Arabidopsis thaliana: one gene and its partners. The protein of the gene in region 1 interacts with the protein of each later gene in a pairwise test. Each region holds a gene or a part of one and is shown in the gene's direction. Other genes may lie near its edges.

Region 1 (4,190 bases):
GAATGTCTTGTAAAAGGAAACAACAATCAAAGATGCATAATCATGTGATCCATGTTCAACGAAGAGAAACCATTTTGATCGAGACATCTCTTTCGTCCACATATAGCTAAATAGACCTTAATAAGAAGATGACACATCAACTTCCCTTGAATCCATTCATGTAAAACACCATTATCGCACAAGACCAAAACTCTTTATCTCGTTAAATTTATGGTTACTACATGAATCTTCTTACCTCACATATCATGAAGCTCATATGAATGTGTTAAGACTCGCAGACACTATGTTGGATGTAAAAGATGCCGTTGGAGATACATTTGTACGGCTAATAGCTCCAAAGTCCAACCACGAAGAAACTCGTAGATGGTTACCGGGGTAGAGAATTGTGCTTTCTTTGTGAAAAAGGTTATCCCAAAGAAGAGGAGTTTTTTCTTACAAAACAGTATGCAATCACATATTCCATGTTACTTGCATCTCAAGTCACTTGTTGCGTACTCCTCAATGTCTTGTTTACTCCGCAGAATTGCTACCAGTCAACATCCGACCCCTACTGTTCAAGGCTTGATTTAGCATGTTACAAAAATATTTATTCACTGTTGTATATCCAAGTTTTGATTTCATTGTTTTTTTTTAATATAAATATAATTAGCAGCTATAGTATATGAAGTGAATTTAACAACTATAACATGTGTATAAATCTGAGATTTCAAATATCAGCTACAGTAGAAACTCTATAAATGAATAATATTGGGATCATGAAATTTTATTAATTTATAGTGATATTAATTTATCCTATAAATTAATAAATATTATTTTATAGGATAAATTAATATTTATCAATTTATAGAAATATTTAAGCAAAATACAACACTATTTTCTTTCAAAATAGAATAAATGTCAATAGACAACTCGAATATCTAGGTGCAAATGAAGCATACTTAAAAATTCAGAGTTTTTAGAAGAAATTATGATTTCTGTCTATAATGTTGGTGAAGAACTTGAAGACGATAATGTGAAACTTTCTGAAATAGTGACACGTAAGGAAGCAATTATCGCGTCTAGAACTCTTCATAACTTTTGTATGTATATCGAAAAGACAACACCAAGAGTTTTTGATGCAATAAAAAAAATTAGAGATGAACTTCAAAGAGATTCAAATTTTAAGAAAAGACAAATATAACGAAAGTCATATTATACTAGATTATTTTTAAAAGTATGTTTAAGATTAGTAATTATTAATTTATGATATTACTGGACCATATTTTGACATAGAGATTTCAAGAAAATTATTATCTTATTATCTTATCGATTTTGGTCAATTTTTACATTGGTCCGAATTGGAACCGACATAATATATTAATTTATCATATTTATTAATTTATCGAATATTAATTTATAGAGTTTCTACTGTAATTTCAATTTAAGTGGTTGAGGGTCTTTTTAAGACAATAATTAGTTAGTGGTTTCTCGGAAAACTGTTGAGAAGAAGAGGTCCTTCGTTTAATTTACATTAAGGTCCAAAACTATCTTATATTTACTAATTTCAACCTCAATGTTTGGATTTGGTCAGAAACCAAATTTATTAGGTTTCCAAAATCCAGTTTCGCTCCTCCTTGCTCTAGCTCTGTTATCTGATTCGTAACCATTGATGAAATGCGAGTTCTCGACGAAATTGCAGAGTCACCATTTCTGATTTCACCGCTAAACCCTAATTCGACAGCCAATGGATATAGATGGGTCGATAAGTGCCATGGATTCTTACATAACACGGTTCTCGTTGCGGCTTCTCTCTTCTTCGTCGCTTACTTAGCTTACGAAGCGAAGAAGAGTCTGTCTAAACTCTCGAATCGGAGATCTTATATCATGATTGCTTATTATGGTTGTCTTTGGCTTGTTAGCTTGCTCAATCTTGCTTGGTGCTGTCTCCAGGTTTGTTAATAAAATATCACAACTTTGATTGAATTACAAAGATTTTTTTAAGAAAGATCAAAACTTTGATTGAATGATGAGTATTTTAAGACTATTTCTAGGTTCTGTGAAACTCAAATTAGAAACTTTTTGGTCATAAGGTTAGGAATGAAATCATAGTATTTAGTGTTTCTGGATAGGTTATTGAGTAATGAATGAATGTTTCAGAAAGATGACAACTTTGTTGATGAATGAGCATATTAAAGACTATTCTAGGTTGGTGAAACTTGAATTTGGTCAGAAGTAAGTATTTAATGTTACTGTATTGGTATAAGATGTGGGTTGTTAGGAAGATCATAATTGTAATCACGGTTTATGGAAATGAGCTAGTGATCCTTGTATCTATTTACATATTCCTAGGTTAGCTTTTGATTTGATTATCATGTTTCCGGATTTGATTATAGGGTTGGGAATGTACTCCTGGGAAAGAAGTTGTTTGGAATCTGTTAACTTTGTTCACAACATCTGGAATGTTGTTTCTGGAAGTAAGCTTGGTGGCTTTTCTCTTCCAAGGAAACTATGCAAGCGGTGCAGAAGCATTAACTAGAACGTTCCTAATCTCGGGTTTTATTGTTGCTCTTGATTTGCTTCTCAAGGTATCTCTACTTTGTCTACTCTTATACCTTCTCATTTCTGAACAAATCTTAGATATGGTGAAATGACAAGTTTAGGATCTTCCTTTTGCTTTTGCCAAACTTTCTGATATGAATTAGGCCTTACCATTTCTGTAGTCCTTACGGGTTTTACCTTCATTCAGGCAATTTTTCTCTTTGGATTTGGAGTGCCATTGTTTATTGACAACAATGAAAATGGAAAAACGTTCAAATGGGGCTTATGGATCATTCATAAGCTTCTACTCACTGGCGTTTATGGGATGGTGTTCTTGATGTACAACTCTAGGTGGAGAGAAAAATTGCCTGGTAAGTTGATCAGACGCTTCTATCTTCCCATAATAGCCTCCACTGGTTTCTTTCTATTTATCATCATTCATGTCTTCTTGTTTCTAACAGCAAGGCCTGCATTCTACAACTACATAATCATCATGTTCGCCTTATACAGCCTTTACCTAGTTGCATCTGCGTTTACCGCAAACAACGCGCATTTTGGTTTCTGGTAACTCTTATCTGAAACCATCCCAACAGAGAATATTGTCTTATGTTCAGCTTGTATCTGCCTTTTAACTCAAAATACTTGCAGGTTATATGGGATCATGAGTGTTTGCTACCACGCATTATACCTTCCTCTTCTTTACATAACGTTCCTCGCAGACTTTTTCCAGGTAATCATCATCATTCATCTTCTCTCACTGACTCTCTCACTCTCTCTAAAATGCAAATGGGTTTGCTGCAGGAAGAAGATTTGAACTTGGAGAATGTATACTACTCAGAGATGAAGGATGCTGGATTTTTCGACTCTGATTGGGAATAGGACTAGGGTAACAAACATCTTCCTCATTTTCTCAATCTGTAAATACACGTTGGGTAGGATCTCCTAGAAGTCATGGCTGCTTTTTCCGGCTTTGGCGGGTTACATTTTAGGGTCTAGTCTTTTGTATGTCTGTACTTTTTCCTCATGTTTCTTTCTCTTTTATAAATCCAAAATGTCTTGTGAATCTCTTTGTTCCTTAAGCTGATAATCTAAAAGAAAGTTTTGTAGTAGTCTAAAGATTGACATAATAAACCACTAGGGCAAATTAAGACATACAACAAAGCATGACACAATTGAGCAAACGGCAATAACAAAAGACAAAAGCCTTTGGTTGTTTCCTTAACTAAGCAGTCTTCTCTTGGACGAGTTCTTCAATGAGTTCAGCAGCCTGTTGGACTGTTGCAATCTCCTTTGCTCTCTCTTCCGCCATTGTTATCCCGAACTCTTCCTCCAAACCCATCACTATCTCAACCTGCAAAAAGAAAGCAGAATTTGTTGATGATGATGTCCAATGAGCTCTGAGATACAATACAATGAGATGATATTTACCGTGTCGAGAGAATCAGCTCCAAGCTCGGTAAATTTAGTTCCGGCAGTGACTTTTTGATCATCGGTGAGCGACAATTGCTTCTTGACAATCTCAGACACTTTCTCTACTGTCTCTTGCTTGACCTTAAACCACATATATACCACATTACCAAATATATTCAAACAGCCTCAAGAAAGTCGAAGAAATATAGAGTTAAATCAACATACTGCACAAGAAACTGCGAGACGAGCAGGCATCAAACGTC
Region 2 (5,062 bases), on another chromosome or scaffold:
GATCATCAGATTCTTCAGATTCGCAAGTAAAAACTAAGAATCGACCAATCGTTTATTACACGAATACTTACTTATAAAGACAATATTAAATAAACCAGATATTTTTATTCCAATTAACCGTCCAAAATAAAAATAGATAGCCGTTTTATTTTAATTTCTCCCTATCCTACAAAGTGAAAGTCGCCAGTATCTCTTTGTACTCCCTCGCTATCTCGAAAGAGTCGTGGATGACTGCGTCGCTGCTTCTCCTGTACTCGAACTGAATGGTAGAGTGATCGACGACAATTAAGGTGACGAACCCAAAGTCCTTGTCGCCGAGCAGGCTCCAGCTGGACTGCATGCAAGAGAAATCATCTAGACTGGCTCCTCCACCTCCCGCAACAACATGAATAGTCCCGTTTAATGGCTCCTGCAAGGATGGTTGGATGGCGTGATCCCGAATACATACATACAGTTTTTCTCAAATAGTTGTGGCCAAAATCCAAATATGTACCATGTGTTTTCTCTGTTATGAACCTAGGTGATATTTGAGCACTAGCTACGATAATATTAGAACTAATTTGATAAGAAAATGGAATGTTTTTTTCTTAAATTTTTCTTAAGTTTTGCTTAAGTTTTGCTCAAGTTTTTCTTAAGTTAGAAAGAACTTTTGGGTTCGTCATTTCTTTTCTGAGAGGGAATTAAAAAGTCAAATTTGTTCTTGCTTTTTAGCTGCTGTTCAAATTCAGAATCTTGTCTTCTTCTCTCTCAATTTGTTCCATAGATCTAATCAGTTGAAATAATGAATCTGAATACTATATATATATATATATATATTCTAATATAATACAATGATGTTTGCATATACTTTTAAAAGACCCTGACAAGAAGAGAAACTAGTAACACATCAAACTTTAAAGAATTTGTAAAGAAATTTAAGACTCATTGCAGAGAAGAGAAGCACAAAACCTCGTAGTAAACCTTGATGAGGAAAAGACCTTGATAGGCGTAGAACACAGTAGAGGTGGATCGACATATTTAACTCTTGTAAGACAAATCGAAGCACTGTAGAAACAAAGAAAAAGGTGCAATGTAAAGCTTTTATCATATAAAATAACACAAAGCTTTACATCAAATCCGAGAACTGTTGGAGAAGCTTTGACATAAGCTTCTTCATTCACATCAAACAGTGTCCTATGAATTGCAACTCCTGACAAAGGTTGCTTTCGATGAGATTTTCCCTCTTGAATTGACACAAGAGTCACCAAAACATCAACAAGTTTCCCATTTCTCACAAGAAGATCATGAAAACAAATGTCTGAAGATGAAGATGAATGTGATACAACTGTGTTCTAGAGATAACTTGTAGGAAACAACATTTATAAAGTTGGTGACTGATGATCAAAACCTAGAAACATAGGCACAAAGCATATAAAGATATGGTGATCATTAGCATTAACATTCCTTTCACACACTTCCGTGACTTGTTGGTTTAAGTGTTTCTAAATCTAGAAATCCAATTGGGAGCCAAAAGAAGACTATGATGTGGACATGTGACCTGCGTTTGCCAAAAACGTACCTTTTACTAACCCAAAGTCCAATCACATTTGGGTCATTGGACTATTCAATTGCAATTGAAACCCAACACAAAGTCCAAAACACTCATAAAGTCTAAACATTTGAATAAGTGATTCTTTTCACTCGTAAGAAGCCAAAATTCGCCATGAGAGAAGAACAAGTCTCTGATTGCGGATCGATTACTCTTGAAGAATGGAATGGTTCTTCTTCCACTAAGCTATTCAAAACAGCAACCATCACTGCCTCCTCTTCTCTCTCTATCCAAAGGTTCTTCTTTATTCCTCTTTGAAATCAATCCAAATCTGATAGTTTCAGTGGATTCACAACAAAATTGAGAAACTTTCTTGGGTTTTCGTCTCCTGTGAGTGATTCATAGGTCTGCTAATCGCTTTAATCATGTGTGGAGACGAGTTCTTCAAGCATTTGTACCAGAGGCAAGTGTTTTCTCTCTTTTTCCCTTTAGAATCTGTCCTCCGGATTAGGGTTTGGCTGAATTGTACTTTGTCTAGTGCAGGGCTTTCCTGGCAGTGTAACTCCAGATTATGTAGGGTTTCAGTTATGGGACACATTACAGGTATGTGAGAATATGCTTGTATGCCTTATAGCTACTGTGAAATTTGAATTGTGACTCTCGGCTATGTTTGTTGCAGGGCCTCTCAACTTATACAAAGATGATGCTTTCCACTCAGGTGAGCTAAAGCTAAAGTTTTTGAGCTTCTGAGTTCTCTATTTTGGTCCAATTTGTCTGCTGCAGCATTTCTGATTTGGACTATTTTCAGGCTCTTTTGAGTGCAATTGGCGTTGGTGAGAAATCCGCAACTGTTATAGGTGCTACATTTCAGGTGAGTTTTTCCATTGCTTACATATAACATTTCACACTAGTTCTCTCAAGAACTATAAAGCGCAATGGAGAATAGTGATTCTATCTTGTGTATTATGCAGTGGTTTCTGAGGGATTTTACTGGGATGCTTGGAGGTATATTGTTCACATTTTATCAGGTGCCTATGTAGCAGATTCTTCCCAATCATAATACACATCGATTCTCTTCCCTTTTCTTTAAGATTTAGATTGGTTACGTTCTTATTTAATGGGAACTGTTCTGTTCTTCAGGGTTCCAACCTGGATAGCAATGCAAAAATGTGGCGCCTAGTTGCTGACCTTATGAATGATATTGGTATGTAAAAGTTAGTTGTCACATCACACTTGATACTAATTGCCTGTATTTGGTTCTCAGTTGAATGACTACAAGCTTTGTTGCTTTTATTGCAGGAATGCTAATGGACCTTCTTTCTCCTTTGTTTCCATCTGCCTTTATCGTTGTGGTTTGCTTAGGGAGCCTATCAAGATCATTTAGTGCGTATCATTTCTTGCATCAAACATTGAAGTTAAGACTTCGGTTTGGATTGATACATCGGTTTTTAACTTTTTTCAATCTTGGCTATTAGCTGGTGTTGCAAGTGGAGCAACCAGAGCAGCTCTAACACAGCACTTTGCTCTTCAAGACAATGCAGCGGATATATCTGCTAAGGTACTCTTTACTTCTTGTCACTGTGAATGATATAGAAACTATAAATGTGAACTTTGAGTAATTCTTTGCTTCTATTTTATCTATTGAAAGGAAGGAAGCCAAGAGACTATGGCAACTATGATGGGTATGTCATTGGGAATGTTGCTAGCTCGGTTTACCTCTGGAAACCCTATGGCTATTTGGCTTTCGTTTCTCTCTCTCACCGTGTTTCATATGTATGGTAAGTCACAAATGAAGGTTAAAGCATAGATCAAATCAGAATTTCTCTCACTGTTTGCCTTTCTTATATATTTAGCAAACTATAGAGCTGTCCGGTGTCTTGTATTGAATTCATTAAACTTTGAGAGGAGTTCAATTCTTCTAACACATTTCATTCAAACTGGCCAAGGTAATTTCGAAATGCGCCATTGATTCTTTCAAGTTTTCAGTGGCTTTCCTTTGTTTTTTATTGGTTTCTCTTTATTATTGCACCATATACCAATAACTTTCTTTAACTAAACGTGTTGCCAGTTCTCTCTCCCGAACAGGTTTCTTCAATGGAGGGTGTATTGCCCTTGTGGGCCACTTCATTGAGGTCAACGAATTCAAAGCCATTGCATAAGAGAGTGCAGTTAGGTGTGAGAGTTTCCTCTCTCCCTCGTCTAGATATGTAAGCTCTATACTAGATTATCATAATTTTCGGGTAAAGAATCGGCTCAAGCTTGACATATTTGTGTGCAGGTTGCAGCTGCTAAATGGTGTTGGAGCTTCTTCATACAAGAATGGTTTGATTGATTTATTTTTCCACAATCTTTCAAGGACATTAGTTTCTCTGTCCATACTTGACGTAAGCTCGGTTCTTGTCTGTTGTTGTACACTCCTGCAGCTAAGTATTTATTGGCTCACATAAAGGGAAATGTTAGTGTGATCTTGCACAAAGATTCAAAACCTGCAGATGTGTTGAAATCATATATTCATGCCATTGTTTTGGCAAACCTTATGGAAAAGAGCACATCTTTTTATTCAGAAGGAGAAGCTTGGATTGATAAACACTATGACGAATTGCTCCACAAGGTAAGATTAAATCACTAGGACCAGTTAAACCGTGTTTTTATGACACTAAAGCTACTGTTTTCACTCTTTTTCTTTCTGTTGTTTCCCATGTAGCTGAGATCAGGAGGTTGGAAAACAGAGCGTCTTCTTTCGCCTTCCATTACTTGGAGAGCTAATTGGATATCTCACACTTCCGCTGCTAAGTTCGACTGAGCTTTATCGCCTTTCAAGATCAAAATAGTTTGTTAACTCGTTGCAAACATACAAAAATATGTTAGTTCTAAGTCATGTAAAACATGTAACCGATACCGGTTTAACCGTAAAATGTCGGTTTAACATTGTATAACGTTTGTTATTAATGGAAAATTAAAGAATTATAATAATGGCAACCGTTTTATTTTTTTGGAAACGCAAAAATTGGAATCGGAACCGCTTCGAACGTATAAATACTTCAATTTTGTGATTCTCTTTCATTATCACTTCATGTTCATCGTTTAGCTCGTAGCTGAAGCTAATTCCACAACTCCGGCCAATAATTCCGCCGGCGAATGGAATCCACGGTGAGTATTTCGTTTATAGTCAGACACTTGTACCCTAGTTTTTGGAATTCGATTAATTTATTGTTTGTTAATGCTATTAGGTCATGCCTGGGTTTGATAGAATTAGCGAATTGCCGGAATCTTTGATTAGTCAAATACTGTTACACCTTCCGACTAAAGCTTCTGTGAAGACGAGTGTTTTATCGACTAGATGGAAGAATCTATGGCTTAATGTTCCCGGACTTGATTTGAACTGCCGTGATTTCCCCTTTCAGAACAACAACGAAAAACTGTTGATTGATTTCATTGACAGATTTCTCCAGTTTAACAATGAGTCACGTCTTCAAAAATTCAAGGTAGATTACAGTAGAGATAAGATCATTAAGTTCTCGGATCGGATTGGTG
Region 3 (4,211 bases), on another chromosome or scaffold:
AGAGGAGAGGTGACCGGGAAGTCCATAAGTAAGATCTCCTTCTCTAACCATTCTTCTTTGCCTTTCTTTCAAATTTGGTTCTGAATTAAGAAATGTGTTGTTACTTACTGTTGAACAGAGATACAAAAGAGAAACCAGGATGGTGTAAAGACCCACATTTACCTCCATGTGCCGCGTAAGTCTCTCTTTGAAACGTTCTCTTTAGAGCAACTCAAGAGTGTTTAGTCATTGTCAGTACTGAGTTTTCTGAAAAAAATTCCCTCTCACAGGTTTGTTGAAATAATGGCGCCTGTATTTTCTCGAGAAGCATGGCGATGTGTGTGGCATATGATTCAGGTTCGTCGATCTGTAGATACATAGTCCTAGTCTTAGTCCATCAAAATAATGCTTGTTGTTTTGATCAGTTTGTTTATGTTTCTGATGCAGAATGATCTGGTTCATGGATGGGGTCTCGACTTTGCGCTTAGAAGATGCGTTGAAGTAAGTTGTTTTTGCCCCCCCCTTGCTTACCTTAATAACACAATATTCTCTTGACTGATGATGAAAATTTGTGTGTTTTGCTTTTGCAGCCTGCTCATGAGAAGATTGGTGTTGTGGATTCGCAATGGATAATACATAAAGTGATACCTTCACTTGGAAGTCAAGGAAAGTCAGAGAATGGGAAAGCTCCATGGCAAGGAGTGAGAGATAGATGCAAAATGGAATGGACAATGTTTCAGAACCGATTGGCTGATGCTGATAAAGAGTATCTTGGGAAGATGGTGAAAGATTAGATTTGTTTTTCTTTTTTCTTTCTATATAATTAATATATTAAAAAAACTTTTACTTTTGTATATCAAATATTTTACACTAAATTAGGTTTTCATAGGACATGTGTGAAGCCCTTTTTATTGATATTGTGTAAGATTTATACATTTTGATTGAGCTTTATTATGTTGTTTGTTACTTTCTCCATTTCAAATTCTTAGATGTTTTTAAAAAGAAATTGCTTTCACTAAACAAGAGAGAAGTGAAACATGTAAAAAAAAAAAACTTTAGAAAACAAAGGTGTAATAGAAGTGGTTGTTATTACATAATCTTTTTGACTTCTGAAAAGACAATAAGAAAACAAGACTTATAACCAGTTTCATGATTTATCTATTTCACCCAATTTCATAAATTGGCTATTTTATATTTGCTCTCAATAGGTAACGTAAATGGTAGAGAAATTAAGGAGAAGAGAAGGGTATTGGTATGGACTTTGGAGTGAGTGTGAAGCTTTACACCAAATCCAAATAATTTCAATTTTCATTTTAGTTTCTATTTTACAATATTTTGCCCAATAGAAAAAGTATGAGAAATTCAGTTTCACCTTCCTTTTTGCTTTTAGTTCAAGTCAATTGTTTGTCCATAGAAAACCATACAATGTCTCCCTCCATTGGCTGTTTCATTTCAGAGTCTTTTTTATGGTTAAGAATTTGCTATCATATCATTAGTAGAAGTCTCTTATGAGGAAAAACAAATATTAAGCAACATCATTATAGTTTTTCTCATGTATCTTGTGCGTAATTATGTAAATGTCATAATTATTAAAACATGAAATTAGGAAGAACAGAAGTTTGGTGTTAGACACCAACCATTTTTATACAAACAAATAATAAAAATCTCATTATATCACCTTTGCATTTCATCACTCATCACATTCACAATCCTTCTCTTTTTCTCACATCAATATATATCTCTCTTTCTCTCTCTTCATTTGATAGATTTGAAGATTTGAGAGGAGAGAGAGGAAGAAAAAATGGGAGAGATGAAGAGTATGCAAATGGGTGTGATTGGAGCATTGTTTCTATCAGTTGCATCTTCTGTCTCCATTGTCATTTGCAACAAAGCTTTGATGACCAATCTTGGTTTCCCTTTTGGTAATTACTAGTACTTTTTTTTTTTGCTTTGTGAGAATATATTTTGTAAGATCTTTATCAAAAACCCGATTATTCGTCTTAGGATTGATCGCTTTTTTGCTATGGTTTTGTTACAGCAACAACACTTACTAGTTGGCATTTGATGGTAACATATTGCACACTTCATGTGGCATATAAACTAAACTTCTTTGAGAATAAACCAATAGACATGAGAACTGTTGTTCTCTTTGGCCTCCTCAATGGCATTTCCATTGGTCTCCTCAATCTCAGCCTCGGCTTTAATTCCATCGGCTTCTATCAAGTATATATCTTCGACATACTTTTGATCATGTAACAATTATATGATTCACCAATTTGATGTTTGTCCATAACTAATGGCAGATGACCAAACTTGCTATCATACCATTCACTGTTCTTTTAGAAACCCTCTTCCTCAACAAGAAGTTCAGGTGAACCAAACTTGATACATAAGATTATTTTAATTTTTATTGTTTACATAAATAACTTTTTTTTGAATGACATATTTTGGTTTTGCAGCCAGAAGATAAAATTCTCATTGTTTTTGCTGCTAGTTGGGGTTGGTATAGCATCAATCACAGATCTTCAGCTCAATTTTGTTGGCTCTGTTCTATCTCTCCTTGCCATTGCCACAACTTGCGTCGGCCAAATTGTATGCTTTAAGTTTCATTAAACTAATGTTTAATAACTAATACATAGTATAATTAATATGACTATGAAAATGTTGTGGTGAAGCTAACAAACACTATCCAGAAGAGACTGAACGTGACATCAACACAACTCCTATACCAATCAGCCCCGTTCCAAGCTGCTATACTCTTCGTCTCGGGTCCTTTTGTCGACAAATACCTCACTAGCCTCAATGTTTTCTCCTTCCATTACTCTCCCATCGTCGTGGTAATTTTTTACATCGTTAATTCCATTTATTCCCAATTGGTGTTAAAATAGAATTAGAATCATTGTCCTGGATCGGTCCAGCCCATTTTCGCATGGCCCCTTAGAGCCGTGCCCATGTTGAGCCATGATTGTATCATAACGTCCCTAGATAGATACTAAAATTTTGTGAAATTTGACAATGATGAATCATGCAGGGGTTCATAACGTTGTCGTGTTTGATAGCGGTTTCGGTTAACTTCAGTACGTTTTTAGTGATTGGAAAGACATCTCCGGTGACATACCAAGTCTTGGGACATCTCAAAACGTGTTTGGTGCTCGCATTTGGTTACACTCTCCTTCACGATCCCTTCACTCCTCGTAATATCGCAGGAATACTCATCGCTGTCCTCGGGATGCTTCTCTACTCCTACTTCTGCTCAGTTGCTTCTAAATCCAAACAAGCCTCCTCCGATTCCACTTTTCTTGTACGTTAACCACACAAAAAGAAAAGATAGAAATAATGAGTGTTGAAAGTTTCTAAGTACTTTGGTTTTATTCCTTTTTTGACAGGGGAAAGATAGAGATACGACGCCGCTTTTGGGACAAGAAAATGAGAACCATCATGAAGCCAAGAAATTAGACAAGCATTCTCCAGTATGAAATAGTACAATAACTCTTTCTTTATGTTTCGACTCTATAATTGTGTCCCTTTTTTTTGTTCATTCATTGATAATGTTTTTGTAATTGAGAAAAAATTGAAATAGCCAATGGGCATTTTCTCTTCTTTTTTATATTTACATTTCCTATTTCATTTCCTCCTTTTTGGATCTTACAAGGATTATAAAATTATTTTCTCTCGTACGTGTTCTTTGGTTTATGTTAGTGTTCTTCAAATGATCAAATGATTGTTTTCTATTAAGAAGATAAAATAAAATAGTATAGTACTAAATAGTGTTTAAAATACAATTAGTTTCAAAACGGTTTTGGACTTTTCGGTGATTAAAATGTGATAAATTATGAAGTTTTTGAGTTTATGGAAGAAAAATGATGGGCGATTTGACATATGCATATAATTATTATCGGTTTTTAGGATAACAGGAACCAGAAATTTCTAATAATTGAAATGCTTTATGCTCTTATTTTTCCTTTCCATATAAAAAATTTAAATGCAATTTATAACATATATACATATAGATATGTATATTGTTAAATATTACATGTGCGTTACGTCTAACGTTTACGAGAATTCATCCTCTGTTCACATGCTACGTTGTCGTTGTTGTTTTATCTTTCCATGAATAGTATATGTATAACATTTTTATGTTATGGTCTTATGGACCTACAAAGAGAATTGGCAATGAAACTTTCCCTTAAAAGCGAATAATTTTTTTAATTAAAAACTAGTGGTTGTGAGAC

The links. Proteins that work in one complex are often made in the same cells at the same time.
Region 2: the proteins of Cand8 (region 1) and RUS3 interact in a protein complementation assay, tested with the Arabidopsis thaliana proteins (one large-scale study listed by BioGRID).
Region 3: the proteins of Cand8 (region 1) and AT2G28315 interact in a protein complementation assay, tested with the Arabidopsis thaliana proteins (one large-scale study listed by BioGRID).

Annotation. Positions count from the first base shown.
Region 1 is NC_003076.8:9,571,539-9,575,728, reverse strand, and holds Cand8 (Protein of unknown function, transmembrane-40), read left to right. Parts: upstream 1-1,593; 5' UTR 1,594-1,653; coding exon 1,654-1,929; intron 1,930-2,372; coding exon 2,373-2,564; intron 2,565-2,725; coding exon 2,726-2,888; intron 2,889-2,978; coding exon 2,979-3,081; intron 3,082-3,165; coding exon 3,166-3,247; intron 3,248-3,318; coding exon 3,319-3,396; 3' UTR 3,397-3,663; downstream 3,664-4,190. Other genes in the region: ACP5 (acyl carrier protein 5), read right to left, coding at 3,740-3,868, 3,946-4,068, 4,153-4,190. UniProt on the Arabidopsis thaliana protein: G-protein coupled receptor. Plays a role in plants and microbes interactions.
Region 2 is NC_003070.9:4,720,015-4,725,076, forward strand, and holds RUS3 (root UVB sensitive protein (Protein of unknown function, DUF647)), read left to right. Parts: upstream 1-1,559; 5' UTR 1,560-1,702; coding exon 1,703-1,824; exon of another isoform or gene 1,825-1,933; coding exon 1,934-1,991; intron 1,992-2,071; coding exon 2,072-2,131; intron 2,132-2,207; coding exon 2,208-2,246; intron 2,247-2,336; coding exon 2,337-2,399; intron 2,400-2,499; coding exon 2,500-2,556; intron 2,557-2,668; coding exon 2,669-2,732; intron 2,733-2,827; coding exon 2,828-2,911; intron 2,912-3,003; coding exon 3,004-3,086; intron 3,087-3,176; coding exon 3,177-3,306; intron 3,307-3,381; coding exon 3,382-3,474; intron 3,475-3,596; coding exon 3,597-3,735; intron 3,736-3,806; coding exon 3,807-3,850; coding exon of another isoform or gene 3,851-3,951; coding exon 3,952-4,139; intron 4,140-4,232; coding exon 4,233-4,331; 3' UTR 4,332-4,501; downstream 4,502-5,062. Other genes in the region: AT1G13760 (uncharacterized protein), read right to left, coding at 351-409, 949-1,087; AT1G13780 (F-box/RNI-like/FBD-like domains-containing protein), read left to right, coding at 4,667-4,678, 4,759-5,062.
Region 3 is NC_003071.7:12,087,116-12,091,326, forward strand, and holds AT2G28315 (Nucleotide/sugar transporter family protein), read left to right. Parts: upstream 1-1,551; 5' UTR 1,552-1,780; coding exon 1,781-1,901; intron 1,902-2,017; coding exon 2,018-2,202; intron 2,203-2,282; coding exon 2,283-2,350; intron 2,351-2,438; coding exon 2,439-2,571; intron 2,572-2,654; coding exon 2,655-2,816; intron 2,817-3,010; coding exon 3,011-3,280; coding exon of another isoform or gene 3,281-3,289; exon of another isoform or gene 3,290-3,365; coding exon 3,366-3,455; 3' UTR 3,456-3,650; downstream 3,651-4,211. Other genes in the region: AT2G28310 (trimethylguanosine synthase (DUF707)), read left to right, coding at 1-28, 119-175, 270-336, 427-480, 570-773. UniProt on the Arabidopsis thaliana protein: Nucleotide-sugar transporter that transports UDP-xylose and UMP in a strict counter-exchange mode.